Elephas maximus indicus: one gene and its partner. The protein of the gene in region 1 interacts with the protein of each later gene in a pairwise test. Links are inferred from orthologs where the notes say so. Each region holds a gene or a part of one and is shown in the gene's direction. Other genes may lie near its edges. The genes, in order: NUP58 and MIS18A.

What was found.
Region 2: the proteins of NUP58 (region 1) and MIS18A interact in binary tests that used the Homo sapiens proteins (3 or more experiments, as listed by UniProt). The link is inferred for Elephas maximus indicus from reciprocal best matches to the Homo sapiens genes NUP58 and MIS18A.

Annotation. Positions count from the first base shown.
Region 1 is NC_064841.1:56,584,942-56,593,524, forward strand, and holds the start of NUP58 (nucleoporin p58/p45), read left to right. Parts: upstream 1-4,806; 5' UTR 4,807-4,993; coding exon 4,994-5,100; intron 5,101-8,583. UniProt on the Homo sapiens protein: Component of the nuclear pore complex, a complex required for the trafficking across the nuclear membrane.
Region 2 is NC_064836.1:29,347,045-29,355,655, forward strand, and holds the start of MIS18A (protein Mis18-alpha), read left to right. Parts: upstream 1-4,871; 5' UTR 4,872-4,900; coding exon 4,901-5,228; intron 5,229-7,828; coding exon 7,829-7,895; intron 7,896-8,611. UniProt on the Homo sapiens protein: Required for recruitment of CENPA to centromeres and normal chromosome segregation during mitosis.

The DNA of each region.
Region 1 (8,583 bases):
GGTTGGAAGAATGGCTCAAAGTGTGCAGCAGGACCTATCTCAGGCCCAGGGAAATGGACCATCACTGAAGCCACCTCAGGGCCTGTGGCAGAGGGAGGAGGGATCAGATAAATGGGAGAGAGTTCTTTCGAAAGGGGAGCTATTTGATCTGTACAGTAAATTAGACACAAGCACTTATCTTATGCTGAGAGCACTGTTCTTTGCTGATTCCAGAGGCATGAGTAGACTCTGTGCCGTTGGCTCCCTGTGGCTAAGGAAACCACGTCCTGAATACTACTACCAGCCTTGCCACAGTCTTGCCAGCAGATCAGGGCTGAGGGGCACTGGTTCCTGCTGAGCCAGATCCACCAAATTCTCACTGCTTCTGATCCATCTCTCCCTCCCCCTGCCACTTAGTCCGATTTCTTAACTTTGTCTTTGATTTTCAGGCTCCTAGCTTGCCATATATATAATTGATTCACTTGTTTTTTTGAGTCTTTGTTGTAAGTGGGACCACCAGAAGCATCTGACTACTCTGCCATCTTGGCCCTGCCTCTTCAGGGTTTTCTTGACTGTAATCTTAATGGAAGCCGATCACCAGACCTTTCTTCTGTGGTATCATTGGCTGGGCTCAAACTGCCACCCTTTAGGTTAGAAGTCAATCACAAGTACCCAGGGGCCTTGACACAAATATAACCCCCAGTATTTCCTACTTCCTAGCCTTTGGGATTGTGTGTCAACTTGGCTGGGCCGTGAGTCTCAGTGGTTTGTCAGCCGTATGGTGTGATGACTTCCATGATAAGATTTGATATTGTGTGATCACCTCCATGATGGTGTCTGCTGTGAGTAGCCTGTTAATTTGGGGGAGTTTCCTTAGGCATGTGACCTGCATTGAATATGAATGGATAGTCTGGAAAGGCTTGGGTGCTTATTGCTCATGCTGGATCCTGCAGCTGGCTTCTGTCTTCTAGCCTCTGGTTCCTGGGATTTGAGCTGGCAGCTTACCTGCAGTCTTACCTGCTGATCTTGGGATTCATCGATCTCCATAGCTTGTGAGAAAGAGCCCTGATCTGTGACCTGCTGATCTTAGGTTTGCCAACTCCTGTGGCTACGTGAATCAGGGGAAACCTCTATCTTGACCTGCAGACTTGGAATGGTCCAGCATCTACAACCGTGTGAGCCATTTCCTTGATATAAATCTCTCTCTCTCTATATATATGTTTATAGAGGTTACTGGTTTTACTTCTCTAGAGAACCGAGCCTAAGACAATCAGGTTTCATTTCTTATAGCTACATTCCTTTGTTTCCTATCAATGTTTCTGCCCACTATTACACTGCATTCCTAATAGGTACAGAGATTGAGACACACCTTCAAGACCTTATCAATAGAATTCTATAAGGGTTGCTAGCATTTTATTTTGTCTAGCAAGATTTCTAAAAAGAAAAGAAATTATTACCATCCACTATCATCATGAGGCCGCCAAGGCAACTTTTTCATGTCCCATTCACTGCCCCCACCAATAGCAAAAACATAATTTCAAAATAAATGACTACACTGAGAATGGAACTAATTTAGCTTCATGGAAAATGCCTTCTATTGCTTTTATTTTTCTCATTTCTTGAGTCATGAATGAAAATTTCATTAGTAAACAGATAATTAGTATTCTGACCTGTGATAGTGAACTTTTCCTCTAGCTTTAGGCTCTTCCTTTCTAACATTTTATTTTGAAAATGTCCAAACCTACAGAAAAGTTGAGAGTAGTATAATGGACACCCATCTACCTTGCTTGTGGAGGTACCAACTGTCAACATTTAGTCACATTTTTATTATTGCTCTATCTCTCTATATTCATTTTGTGGTTGTCGTTGACTCTTTTGAGACTTTAATAGGATTTTTAAAGAAGAATGATACTATCTAAATCTTTCAAGCCAAATAAATACACCTCTTCTGGAAAAATTTACAAGACAGAGTCTGGAGGCAAATGCTGCATGTAGTTTCTGAAAGATAACCTCTCTCTTGAATATTTCAGAGGATCAGAACCATAAACATTACAGATCACTTTAAATAGACTTCAGATTCCCAGACACTTTCTGTGTTAAAACCTCTCAAATAATGCTTCTCAAAGGGCTCTCCTGATCTGAACACACTACTACTGCAAGGCTATTTAGCTCTTTAATGCAAATACAAACTGGAATTTTTTTTTACAGTGCTATTGCCTTTCAGCTAATTGTCTGATTATGACATTAACAATGTTATCATCCAGCAAGCAAATCAGCAAAATATGGAGTTTCTTAACAGAATGCTCACAATAAAAGAGGAGGGGAAATAAAGTAGCTTGCTATAGAATTCAGAATCTGAATCACTTGCTTCCTCCTTGGAAAGCAGTAATTCACACAGAACTGACACATGGGTCAGGTCCCATAATGTCCAAGAGTAATATTTGGAACTTCGTTTGTAATAAAAATTTGTCACTCACACTAGATGAGGAATGTTAAGCCAAATTACAGTGCTCCACATTTTTCCCTGGTTGGGGGATAGGGTTTAATAGGCACGAAGTTGAGGTTATTGCTATTTTACTGGCAAGTTTTCAGTTTCGTAACAAAAAATTGGGCCTATTAAAACTGTTTTCTTTGGAGAGGATGTAAAGTGTTTTCTTTTTTTCTTCTCCCTCTCTCTTTGCTAATAGGACAGACAGCCACAGGTATATAAGATGAGAAAAGGTCTTTCAGGTCCAGTCTTATGCTTGGTGCATCTGTAAACTGTGACAGATTATAACACTGTGCGTCAAATATTCCAATTTTCCACCATGCAGTACTTCTTCCTGTGGGATTTGGGATCATTTGTTACTGAAACAGAACTTAAACTGCTCTGCCAGATACAAGGCAGAAATGCCATACTAAAATTTTTATAAAATAAAATTGTAAGAATAGCTTGCGCATCAATTTGAATGGCTCAAAGAAACATAAACACCCTTTGTCTGAGTCAGGTTCCCCTATTTTAATTCTACAATAAGCTTTGTATTTCAAAAGTTTTAATTTATAGAATTTTTGCACTGATAGTACAGACAGTTCCTTTGTACTGTACGCCCAATTATTAATATGTTACAATAAAGCTAAAAACCCATTGCCATCAAGTTGGTTCTGACTCATAGTGACACCATAAGACAGAGTAGAACTGTCCAATAGAGTTTCCAAGGCTATAATCTTCATGGAAGCAGGCTACCATATCTTTCTCCTGCAGAGTGGCTGGTGGGTTCAAACTGCCTGTGTTGGATTAGTAGCTGAGCTCTTAACCACTGTGCTGCTAGGGTTCCATAATATCTTCCGACAGCTCCTCTAATATTTTTACATGCTGTTTCCGTCCAGGTAATCTTACATGTCTTATTAATCAACAAGTGCTTTTTAAGTGCTGGGGATTTTATTTGTCCTAATTTTATTTTGATATTCTTCAAAAATTGTGGAAATACCAGGGAATGAAATGACATAAGGAACAGCTTTCTTTCAAATGTCATCTGGTTGCATTTTTTTTTTTAGTCAAAAGGAAGTACATTTAAATTTTATATCTACAGGCTTCTTACTGGCCGTCCTATATCTGTCATTGAAAACGCTATCTAGATTACTGAAGCTCTAAAATTCATAATAATTTTTACTATTGCTCAATCACTGTGAATTTTTTTATACTATAGTTTAAATATATTTCCCTTTCATTTCTGTTTTATCATGTGACCTTCATAATGTTTAAAATGGTGTTTATCTATTTTTAATTCTACAAACAGAAGTGGGAGTGCCCAGTCTCAACCGGAGAAAGTGTTGCATTCACGGCAATTGTGAGAGAGGAGGTTGTACAGCTGGGTCGTGTTGAGAACTTTGCGTATTAGACTAAGGAGCCACTGGGAGTTTCTGATCAAGCGACTGCCATGGTGGCAATTATATTTTAGAAGAACAAATATGGTGGTTGCTAATGGGACGGATTTTATGGAAAGAGAATTTAGGTAGGAAAACCATTTGAGGAGGCGAAGGTAACAATTCGCGATGGAAAAAGAGACCCACATTATGACGGCGGAACCTCTATTGTACTATTGCTGAAGACTTCCCTGATCTTTCCCACAGAGGAGATATCTTCTTGGAACCCACAGTTTTCTGACGTTGGTCACGTAACTCTTAAATTTTACCTTACGTCATACTTGTCTGTATAGTGTTTTTCTCCTTTGCAGCTGTATAGGCCCTTTAGTAGGTAGCACAGAGGATATCGAAGCGGCGTCCCGGTTGGCTCTAGCTCCTACTATGCTGACACTACTGGTTGACTTGGCTAAACCATGAGCTACAGGGCCTTGGACAGTCCGTTTCCTCAGCACCACGAACAGAGCCAGCGCCCACACCTCCATCGGGCCGGTCCTAAGCCCTGTTGGTGACTGCCGTGTCCGACTATACGAAACGGTCCGCGCAAGCTATTGAGCAGAGTTGAAGCTCAGTGCGTTGAAGGGATGGGTGAATTATGATTTCCGAAATCGCTGACAGCGGTCAGCCAGTTCGCGGCCTTTGTCTCTGTAAAAGGAGGGACTTGGAGATGCTCTTTAGCGCCCTTCCCAACTCCGGAATTCTGCACATCCAGTAGGGAGGACATAAGCAATAATTGAGACGCCAAACTACAAAGTACAGACTGAGTCAGCACAGATACCAAAATAGAAGAACTAAATAAAAAATAGAAATGATTATTGGCTTTTAGTTTTTACTGTGGGCGCCTGCCCCTTTAAGGAAGTCGGTCGCGCGCTGTCCCAGCGTCCCTTGCGACGCGGGCTCGCTCCCGGCAGTGCGTGCGAGCGGCGAGCGACGCAACGGGCTGGTGCGTGCGTTGCTCCACCCCTTCGGCCTTGTCTTGGCCGCCGTTGGGGTGAGGTTCCCGCCAGGTTGGAGCTGGCGTGAGAGATGTCCTCCGCTCCGCCGCGGCGGTGAGGCGTGAGGAGCGGTCCCGACTCTTCCGGGTTGCCAACGGCCCCGGGCCCAGGGTGCAGCCATGTCCGGCGGCTTTTCCTTCGGAACCGGGACCCTGGGCTCCACCACCGTGGCCGCCGGCGGGACCGGCACGGCGGGCGGCTTCTCCTTCGGGACAGGGGCGGCTAGGTAACCGCGTGTACTCGTTTTTCGGGCCCGGGTCTTCGCCGGCGGGTTTCCCTGTTGGTCCCGACCCTCTCTTCCCGGTGGCTTCCTTCCCTGTGGGCTTACAGATATGCGCTTGCCGGGCCACCCGCTCGGTAGGCCGCCCGCTCGCGGTCCAGCCCGAGCCGTGCCCCGGCCTGGCAGGGAGGAGGGCGGACGGTCTGTGAGGTCTCCAGGATCGCGGGTGGTTCAGGCTTTGTTCCGACCGAGCGGGGCCTGGCTGGTTGACAGGGCCTGGGGTTCACAGCCCAGAGCCTTAACGAGGCGTCAGTCTTCAGGCATGGGATGAAGGTTGAATGAATGAATGAAATTACGGTTTATTGTAGGGTTTGACATGAAGATCTTTAACGAATGGAAATTGGTAAGGAGAACAATTAAAAGCGTCTTTCCGATAATTCAGATTCCACTGCAGTGTTACGGTTTTGGATGTTACGGTGCTTTAATGATTTCGTGGTTATTTTTAGCGAGCTTTTTAAGTTTTTTTTTTTTTTAAGGCTTTTTGCAGTATTTATTGGTGATAATTTTGTACGGTATGTGGGGAAATTGGAATATTTGACTAACAGTATCACGGCCTGTCACGTTTCATCATTGAGAACAATTTTCTCTCGATCACCAACGTATTGTAATTTCCCACATTGCCTTTCACTTAAATTGCAAAGCGTAGGTGACATATTCAGCGTTTTCTTGCAACCTGCGAGGACAGGTGTGACAAAAAGACAACTAGCAGAGGTTCGCAAAGATACAATTAAAACGGTGAAAGATGATTTTATGATGAGAGATTTAGCCCGTAGGCCTCAATCTTTTGAAGGTAGAGGCAGAGGAGTGCATAAAATGAAGTATGCATAGCATGAGCTACAAGATAACTCCTGGAGCTTGAAGGATGTGGTTGTAGGTTAAAAAGGCAAAAATATTTTGGGTTACGTGTATTTAAGGAGGGGGGAGTGCACCCCAGACTACACAGCCAAGATTAGAAATCTGGGGGTTTTCCTCTTTTTCTGGCACTCTATGCACTTAACCAGCAAGTCCTGGTGATTTTACTTCTGTGATTTCCGTTTTTTGTGCATTGCCAATGCCACCGTCCTGCTCCACGGTGTTGCATTCATAGAACAAATACTTACTGAACAAATTTCTATGAGCCAGGCTTTGTTTTAGGTGGTGAGATGAATAAGATTCTTGCTCTACTTAAGATTCCTGCCAGCTTTCCAACCAGCAACCTTTTTTTTTGCTAGATGAAAACTGCACCTGTATCTCCTGCATCAGCCTTTTTGCCACATGTAGCCAGAGATTTTCATTTTAAATGCGCTTTGCTACCTTTCTGTGATTTTCCATTACCCTTAAAATGAAATTAAATTTTCTTTTTCTTTTTTTTTTTTTACCATAGTCTACGAGGCCTGAATAATCTGGAATCCCTTTACTCATCTTGAACCCATCTTCTCATTTTAGTTTGCTCCCATTCATTGATCCAGGACCACTGTAAAAAAATAACATTTACATTACCACCCTGCTGGTATATACTGAGAAAGTGCTTGATGTCCAAAACCTCTTTATTGAGTAAAAGAATGATTAATATCTATTTTTTACTAACTGGAAACTTCCTGAGGGCAGGGTCTAATCTTATTTACCACTCCATCCTCAGTTCTCATGATGGTGTCTAACATATGAAAAGAGGTTTAATAAATACTTGTCAAATGCCTAAATAAATGAATTATTTGGTAATAAACTAGAAAAATCTACACAGGCTTTAAAAGGATTTGAATAAATTAATGACAGAAGACCTCTGCCCGTTAGAGTGCTAGATTGGAGACCTGACAGCTCCTGGTGCCGCTTGGTGATTTTGTCTCTTTCGGTAAGTCATTTTGGGTGACTTACTCTCCTGGCCTCAGTTCCCACACCTGGAAAAGGTGTATAATAACATACTTAACCTCAGAGGGTTTTTGAATGAGATAAAGCATGTAAAGTATCTAGCATCATGTACGTGCATCTTGGTAAACCAAGAAAACCAGACCCGTTGCAGTGGAGTCGGTACCAACTCATAGTGACCCTATAGGACAGAGTAGAACTGCGCCATAGGGTTTTCAAGGAGTGGCTGGTGGATTCGAACTGTCCACCTTTTGGTTAGCAGCGAAACTTAACCACTATGCCACCAGGGCTCTGCATCTTGGTAAGTGTTCAGTAAATGTTAGCTACTGCTTTTACTTCTAAGTCCACAGTTAATGTACTCTAAACTGAAAACCCAAACCTACTGCCGTTGAGTTGATTCAGACTCATAGTGACCCTATGAGTAAAACTGCCCCATGGGGTTTCTGAGGCTGTATTTGTTATACAAGCAGACTATCACCTCTTTCTCCTGCAGAGCAGCTGGTGGGTTTGAATCACCAGCCTTTTGGTTAGCAGCCAAGCACTTTAACCACTGTGCCACTAGGACTCCTTTAAGGCAGGCTGGAGAAGTTAAAATATCATTTCTGACTAGATGGAGTCAACTTTGCTTTTCCACAGTAAAAAAAAAAGTGAAATCACTGGCAGATAATACTGGGTCGAGGCAATAATTGGTTGGGCTTAATGTAGCTTTTGTTTTCCTTGAAGTAAAGAAATTTCACTGCCACAGAGAAATTTCTCTTTTGCTCCTCTGGTAGAGTAAGAAGGATTTTTTCTTTGATATATATATTTTTTGAGGATGTTTTGAACTTTTGTTATGAAATACCTTACAGTGCCTTCAGTTATCTTAAGTTGTCAAGAAATTTAAAATTTTTTAATTCATTGTTTAATAATACATACCTTTCACTGTATGTTTTTGGTATATTTATGGAATACAAGTAGGGCACAGCTTTAAAAAATGGGGTCATTCATTTGGGAGCAAAGGGAGCATAATAACCGTTTTTCTAATTTGATTTCGAAATTTGCTGAAATGTTTCTTAAAATACCATTTTAATTGTTCAGTTGATTAAATATATAAAGTTCTATGCTTTAGTTGTACTCCCTTTTTCTGCTCAGTATTGATAACCCATCTCAAGTGTTACCTCCTTAATAAGCTGCTCCCTCTCCATTCCCCTCAGCGAGTAGCTTTTCACCTCAAACTTCTGTTTTATGTTTGCCAGTGATCTGCATAAAGTGATTATAAGCTTGTTGAAGAGATAAATTTGTACTACTTGTATCATAATGCTTCCCTCCCCCAAACTCCCAATATATACAAAACCCGAATGGTTCCATGGGCTAGTTACAGAACAGATGAGATTTGGATGCAAGTAACTTGGAGAACTGTTCTACCTTGGATTATGGTTATTTGTGTTACTTATCCTCCTGGTAAACAACACGTTCCTTGCACGCAGGGGCTATCTTAGTCTTCTCTGTACCCCCTTGCTACTCCTGGCATAGAGCCATGTCTGCAATGTATTTAGTTGAATTTGCAAGTATTCCTAATGTTAACAGTAGTAACAACATTTGAAGTTA
Region 2 (8,611 bases), on another chromosome or scaffold:
TCTTACTTTACCTGATTTTGGAACCTATTATACAGCCACAGTAGTTAAAACAGCCTGGTACTGGTACAACAACAGATACATGGACCAATGGAATAGAATTGAGAATCCAGACATAAATCCATCCACATGTGAGCAGTTGATATTTGACAAAGGCCCCAAAACAGTTAAATGGGGGAAAAGACAGTCTTTTTAACAAATGGTGCTGGCATAACTGGATATCTATCTACAAAAAAATGAAACAAGACCCACACCTCACTCCATGCAGAAAAACTAACTCAAAATGGATCAAAGACCTAAATATAAAATCTAAAACGATAAAGATCATGGAAGAAAAAATAGGGACAACGCTAGCCCTAATACATGGTAAAAACAGTATACAAAACATTATTAAGAATGCAGAAGAAAAACTAGATAACTGGGAGCTCCTAAAAATCAAACACCTATGCTCATCCAAAGACTTCACCAAAAGAGAAAAGGACTACCTACAGACTGGGAAAAAGTTTTTAGCTATGACACATCTGATCAGCGCCTGATCTCTAAAATCTACATGATACTGCAAAAACGCAACTACAAAAAGACAAATAACCCAATTAAAAAATGGGCAAAAGATACAAATTGATACTTCACTAAAGAAGACATTCAGGTAGCTAACAGATACATAAGGAAATGTTCACGATCATTAGCCATTAGAGAAATGCAGATCAAAACTAAAATGAGATTTCACCTCACTCCAACAGGGCTGGCAATAATCCAAAAAACACAAAATAATAAATGTTGGAGAGGCTGTGGAGAGATTGGAACACTTATACACTGCTGGTGGGAATGTAAAATGGTACAACCACTTTGGAAATCGATTTGGCGCTTCCTTAAAAAGCTAGAAATAGAAATACCATAAGATCCAGCAATCCCACTCCTAGAGAAATAAGAGCCTTTACATGAACAGATATACACACACCCATGTTTACTGCAGCACTGTTTACAAAAGCAAAAAAATGGAAGCAACCAAGGTGCCCATCAACGGATGAATGGATAAATTACGGTATATTCACACAATGGAATTCTGCGCATCAATAAAGAACAGTGAGGAATCTGTGAAACATTTCATAACATGGAGGAACCTGGAAGGCATTATGCTGAGTCAAATTAGTCAGTTGCAAAAGGACAAATATTGTATAAGACCATTATTATAAGAACTTGAGAAACAGTTTAAACTGAGAAGAAAACATTCTTTTGTGGTTAAGAGAGGAGGGAGGGAGGGAGGGTGGGACAGGGGTATTCACTAATTAGATGGTAGATAAGAACTACTTTAGGTGAAGGGAAAGACAGCACACAATACAGGGGAGGGCAGCACAACTGGACTAAACCAAAAGCAAAGAAGTTTCCTGAATAAACTGAATGCTTCGAAGGCCAGTGTAGCAGGGGCAGGGGTCTGGGGACCATGATTTCAGGGGACATCTAAGTCAATTGGCACAATAAAATCTATTAAGGAAACATTCTGCGTCCCCCTTTGAAGAGTGGCATCTGGAGTCTTAAACGCTAGCAAGCAGCCATCTAAGATGCATCAATTGGTCTCAACCCACCTGGATCAAAGAAGAATGAAGAACACTAAGGACACAAGGTAATTATGAGCCTAAGAAACAGAAAGGGCCCCATGAACCAGAGACTACATCAGCCTGAGACCAGAAGAACTAGATGGTGTCCAGCTACAACTGATGACTGCCCTGACAGGGAACACAACAGAGAACCCCTGAGGCAGCAGGAGAGCAGTGGGATGCAGTCCCCAAATTCTCATAAGACCAGACTTAATGGTCTGACTGAGACTGGAAGGACCCCGGTGGTCATGGCCCCCAGACCTTCTGCTGGCCCAGGACAGGAACCATTCCTGAAGCCAACTCTTCAGACATGGATTGGACTGGACAACGGGTTGGAGAGGGATGCTGGTGAGGAGTTAGCTTCTTGGATCAGGTGGACACTTGAGGCTATGTCCGCATCTCCTGCCTGGAGGGGAGATGAGAGGGTAGAGGGGGTTAGAAGATGGCGAAATGGACACGAAAAGAGAGAGTGCAGGGAGAGCGGGCTGTCTCATTAGGGGGAGAGTAATTGGGAGTATGTAGCAAGGTGTATATAAGTTTTTATGTGAGAGACCGATTTGATTTGAAAACTTTCACTTACTGAAAGCACAATAAAAATTGTAAAAAAAAAAAACACAAAAAAACAAAAAAACCCACTGAGGATTCCTGCTTGCTGTCCAAAGTCTGAGCCGATGTAGATCCTTGTGGTTGTTCGCGGCTGTCAAATTGGCTCTGATTTATGATGACCCCATGTGTGTCAGAGCTGAACTGCTGATATTTTGGAAATAGATTACTAGGCTTTTCTTTTTTGTCTTAGTCTGGAAGCTCCACTGAAACCTGTGCACCATGGGTGACCCTGCTGGTATCTGAAATACCAGTGCCATAGCGTCCAGCATCATGGCAACATGCAAGCCATCACAGTATGACCAACTGACAGACGGGTGGTGGGTAGATCCGTAGCAGTGCTTTCTTCCCAGTTATGCTGCCAGGTGGTCTGCGATGCAGCCAGACCCCTTCCCCTCAGTCTTCCCACCACACCAGTGGTGCTTTAAATCAGAGGCTGGTTGAAGGAAGTCTGTGCTGACGATCCTGAGTGAATGCTCGCCTCTTGCGAGGGGCTGAGGGCTACCTGATGTAGACAGCAGAGGCACTGCCAAACTTTCCAGTAACACTGCTACTGCCCGCACCAGTGTCTGCAACTTCTTAATTTTTTTTATTGTGGTAAACATACATATATATGTTTTTCCAATTCAACAATTTTTACATGTAAAATTCAGTGACACTGATTGCGTTCATCATGTCTTGCCACTACTGATAGCTGCCAATCTCACCTTCCGTGAAGGAGACCTGGTGCAGGATGCCCAGGCAGTGTACCCCATGTGCAGCACCACCCATCTGTCAGTGCGGGCTTGCATGTTGCTATGATGCTGAACAGGTTTCAGTGGAGCTTCCAGACCACGATGGACTAGGAAGAAAGGACTGGCCATGTACTTCTGAGAATCAGCCAGTGAAAACCCTATGGATCACAGCAGTCGGTGGGGATGGAGCCGGACTGGGCAGCATTCTTCTCGGTCGAGATTGCCATGGGTTGGGGGTGACTCCAAGGCAGCTAACAAGAAGACCAAGGATTGTGAAGGTCTGGGTGAGTGAATGGTAATTTACTCTGAGGTCTGTGCACTTTTTCAAGGATGACATCCCCTAACACTCCCCCAAGAAGACCAAGGATTGTGAAGGTCTGGGTGAGCGAATGGTAATTTACTCTGAGGTCTGTGCCCTTTTTCAAGGATGACATCCCCTAACACTCCCCCAAGAAGACCAAGGATTGTGAAGGTCTGGGTGAGCGAATGGTAATTTACTCTGAGGTCTGTGCCCTTTTTCAAGGATGACATCCCCTAACACTTCCCCAAGAAGACCAAGGATTGTGAAGGTCTGGGTGAGGGAATGGTAATTTACTCTGAGGTCTGTGCCCTTTTTCAAGGATGACATCCTCTAACACTCCCCCAAGAAGACCAAGGATTGTGAAGGTCTGGGTGAGCGAATGGTAATTTACTCTGAGGTCTGTGCCCTTTTTCAAGGATGACATCCCCTAACACTCCCCCAAGAAGACCAAGGATTGTGAAGGTCTGGGTGAGCGAATGGTAATTTACTCTGAGGTCTGTGCCCTTTTTCAAGGATGACATCCCCTAACACTCCCCCAAGAAGACCAAGGATTGTGAAGGTCTGGGTGAGCGAATGGTAATTTACTCTGAGGTCTGTGCCCTTTTTCAAGGATGACATCCCCTAACACTTCCCCAAGAAGACCAAGGATTGTGAAGGTCTGGGTGAGGGAATGGTAATTTACTCTGAGGTCTGTGCCCTTTTTCAAGGATGACATCCCCTAACACTCCCCCAAGAAGACCAAGGATTGTGAAGGTCTGGGTGAGCGAATGGTAATTTACTCTGAGGTCTGTGCCCCTTTTCAAGGATGACATCCCCTAACACTCCCCCAAGAAGCTGAACACCCTTCTCAGTGCACACCAGCATTCCAGCAACTCTCCTCCTTTTTTTTTTTTAATTGTGCTTAAGGTCAAATTTACAAAGCAAATTAGTTCCCCCGTTCACTAGTTTGTACATAAAGTGTTACATGACTTTGGTGGTATTCCCCACAGTGAGTCAGCACTACCCCCGTTTCCATTCCGAGTTCCCCCTTTCCTTTCGTCCTGATTTATCTCGTGTAAAAAAAAAAAAAAAATTTTTTTTTTTAATTGTTCTAAGGACCACCTTCTCTCGGGAGTTACTGTTTATTTCACGGCCCTGTCTATGGTTTGGCTGAAAGGTGGCCTCTGGAAATGTGGCTGCAGTTCCACTTCAGAAGGGTGTCTTAGGGCCACAGTCTCGGGGGTTTCTCCAGGCTCTGTCAGACCCCGTAATTTGTTTTTTAACCCAAACCAAGCCTAACCCACTGCCAAGTGGATTCCAACCCATAGAGAACAAAACTTCCTCATAAGGTCTCCGAGGCTGTAATCTTCAGGAAGCAGACTGCCGCATCTCTCCGCCCCTGTAGCAACTGGTGTGTTCCACCACCAAACTTCCGGTTCGCTGCCGAGCGCTTCACCTACTGCACCACCAGGGCTCCTGACTTCTTAAAAGGGGTGGAAAACCTGACGCAGGCGCAGTGATCGACAGCCGCGTCAAGCCGACAGTGAGCACGCGCACGAGCCCATTGCCCGCTGTCCCTCCTCCCTCAGACCCCGCCCCTCAAGGCTCGACCTGGGCCGCTGCGCCCCGCCCCGCGCATGCGCAGGGCCGTTTTTTCCCGTGGTGCTCTAGGGCGCGGGTAATTTGTAGTTATGGCGGGCGCTCCGTCGCTGCGTTCTTGCAAAAGATGCTCCTCTGTTAGCTGTGCGTGTGACCAGGGCAAGTGGAGCGACTCCTCTCTGCTGGGCAGGAGGCTCTCCGAAGACTCGAGCCGCCAACAGCTGCTGCAGCAGTGGGCGAGCATGTGCAGCTCCGGGAGCTGGAGCGCGCCGGCGGCCGGCGCCGAGGAGACGTGGCGTGGGGAGGCCGCGGAGGAGGAGCGGCCGCTGGTGTTCCTGTGCTCGGGCTGCCGCCGGCCGCTGGGCGACTCGCTGAGCTGGGTGACGAGCCAGGAGGACCCCGACTGCATCCTGCTCCGCTGTCAGTCCGGGCGGGCGGGGGGCTTGGGGCCGCCGACTTCCCAGGTGTGCAGTATCTGGGCGGCTCGGAGGGAGGGGGTTGCCTTGGGACCCACTGCCGTCAGTCCATTCCGACTCATAGCGACCCTATAGACAGAATAGAGCTGTCTTATGGGGTTTCCAAGGAGCGGCTGGTGGATTCGAAGTGCAGACCTTTTGGTTAGAAGCCGAGCTCTTAACCACTCCACCACCAGGGTTCCACTGCACCACCAGGGACTTAAAATGCAGAGAAAGTTGAGAGGGGGAGCTGTGCTACGAAAAGGGGAGGAAGAAGGTCACCTGCACCTTTGGCTCAAGAGTGAGGGGCGGGTCCTTTATCTTGAAGCCACCGCCCCGCCCCCCATTCGAGAAGAGCAGTGGTTGAATCAGCAGCATTGTGAGCATTACTCAAAACATTACAACTCGATTGTAAGCCAGGACGTGTTTGTTGTTGTTAGGTGTTGTGGAGTCAAGTTGTTTTTAACTTTTCTAGAACTGTATATAAATATCTTGATTTATCCGCTTTAGACAATTTGATTAAAACTTTCTCCTCCACTTGGACTTCAATTATTCTCACTTTGTCATTGTTCTAGTATTTACGTTCTGCTCTGTAGCCATAATTCCCATGGTCATTTAGCCTTAAGGTAACATTTAAGTGGATTTATTTCTCAACTCTAGTACTCTTATCAGGAGTCCTGGTGGCACAACGGTTAAGCACTCAGCTGCTCATTGAAAGGTTGGTGATTTGAGCCTGCCCAGTGACTCCGAGTGAGAAAGATCTGGCAATCTGCTCCTGAAAAGATTAAAAAAAAAAAACAAACAACCAAACCCATTACTGTGAAGTCGATTCTGATTCATAGTGACCCTATAGGACAGAATAGAACTGCCCCATAGGGTTTCTAAGGCTGTAATCTTTATGGAAGCAGACTGCCGCATCTTTCTCCCACCTGGCTGATGGGTTCAGACTGCCAACCTTTTGGTTAGTAGCTGAGCACTTAACCACTGTGCCACCTGGGCTCCTTTCAGAATTGACTCAATGGCACATAACAACAGTACCCTTAGAGCTTTCCCTTCCTGACTGGTTTATTTTGATTGTTCTTGTTAGCTGCTGTGGAGTTGACCCCGACTCATGGCAACCCACACACAAAGGGATCGGACTGTTGCGATCCGTGGGGTTTACACTGGCTGATTTTGGAAGTAGATTGCCAAGACTTTCTTCCTAGTCAGAGTCTGGAAGCTTTGCTGAAGTCTGTTTAGTAGCATAGCAACATACAAGCCTCTACTCATATAGGTGGTGGCTGTGCTTGAGGAGTACTGGTCGGGAATGGAACCTGGGTCTCCCTCACGGAAGGCGAGAATTCTATCCACTGAACCACCGTGTCCCTCTTTATTTTGATTAATCGTCCTCAGTAGTTCCCATCCCCAAGAAAACTCCAGGTTTGAGTGCTTGAAAATGTCTGTTGTCTTTATACATGAATGTCTCTTTGGCCACACGTACACTTCTTCGGTCATGCTTTGTGCTTCCTCCAGGCATGAGGGGAGCAGGTGGTGCAAAGGCCCTGGGGCTTGTGAGTAGAATACAGATAAGATTCAGGGAAGAAGGAAGGGGCCAGAAAATGGAGAGCCTCGTATGCTATCTGAGGAGACAAAATCTATTCCAGTGGTTGAGGAGATGGGAGTGATATGACCCACTCGTGGAAGTAGGGAGACAAGTCAGGAGCTGTTGTGGAAGTCCACGCAAGGGGTGGTGGCAGCTGTGTTGGGGATGGAGAAGAGCAGATACTTTGGAAAGGCGTTTGTGAGGTAGAATTCACAGCACTTGTCAGTGGAGTGGGTGTGGGGAGCAGGATGAGACAGAAGAATCAAGGATGGCATTAGGGTGTCTGGTGGTGGCATTCACCAGGCTAAAGTGGACTGTAGGAGGAGGTGAAATCAAGGGGCTGTTTTGTTAGGTCCGATATGACATGGTCTTTTCTTCATTTCCCTCCACCTGGACCCTCTGTTAGTGCATCCTGAAACTGAATCCTCCGGTAACGTTTCCTGCTCGGGTTCTGCTGCGGCCCTTGCCCAAGTCATGGTCCAAGTAAAAGATTTTTGGCTGGGTTGCTGGGGACCATCTAAATTACTGTTGGAGAAATGAGCTTTCTTTTGGAGATCTAGATATGTACGCGTTGGATTTTAGCATCTTCCTTGGTTTTAATCCCAATTTCACCAAACCTGGCAGTTATTCTTTGTAATTTATGATTGGAGGTTCTCATTTTTCCAGGTTTTACTATTTCCTGAATTTTTCTTCTTAAGCTTATTCATTTTGTTCATATCACTGGTTTTCAGGGAAGGAAGTAACTCTTATTCTGCTGTCTTTTTCCAGAAGACTCCTGTACATTTAGTTTTAAACCCATGTGTTTTGTGTGTGTGAGTGTGAGAGAGAGAGACAGAAAGGGTGAGAGGGAGATACTTTGGCCTCTTATTTTTTCTGGCCCTCTGAGTTTTCATATAAAACTCAGATTAGAGGTTCTCTAAATATCTGCATGTGTATTATAACAAACCCCATTAACAAATTATAGTTACTTTTCTTCTTTCCAGGTGTCTCCTGTAATGTTTCTGTGGACAAGGAACAGAAGCTATCCAAACGTAAAAATGAAAATGGCTGGTGAGTAAAGCTGTATCTATGTGAATATATATGTTAGAGAAATGCTTATTTTTCAGGTAAAAATCTTTTAAAAGATCTTTACTAGTAATTGCTTGGGATAAAACTGTTTCCTAGTAATCGATACAGGATCAGTCTTTCAAACCTGTCAATTCTTGAGTGATGGTGCCCCCTAAATATTGAGATGGGAGGGTTTCTAGTTTTCTAAAGACATATCCTGATATTCCCTTTTTGGCTCTTTGGGCTTGGTTTTGAAGAAAATAGAAAAAGAAAATATCTGTATCGTGAAACCTCGTAGGCAAAGGTGCCTTAGACCAATGCTGTCTACCTTGTTCATGCCATGACACTCACAGAAAATGCATAGACATATGACGGCCTGACTCACGATGGCCCTGTGGACAACATGATGAAACGTTGCCAGGTCCTGTACCATCTTAGTGATTGTTGGTATGTTTGAGTCCATTGTTGTAGCTCTTGGGTAGAGCCTTCCAGCCTAGAGGGCTCATCTTCCAGCACTATATCAGACAATATTCTGTTGCAGTCTGGGGGGCTTTCATTGACTAATTTTTTTTAAAGTAAATCTCCAGGCCTTTCTTCCTGGTCTATCTTAGCCTGAAAGCTTCACTGAAGCCTGTCCACCATGGGTGATCCTGCTGGTATTTGAAATACAGTGGCATAGCTTCCAGCATCATAGCCATACACAAGCCACTACAGTACAA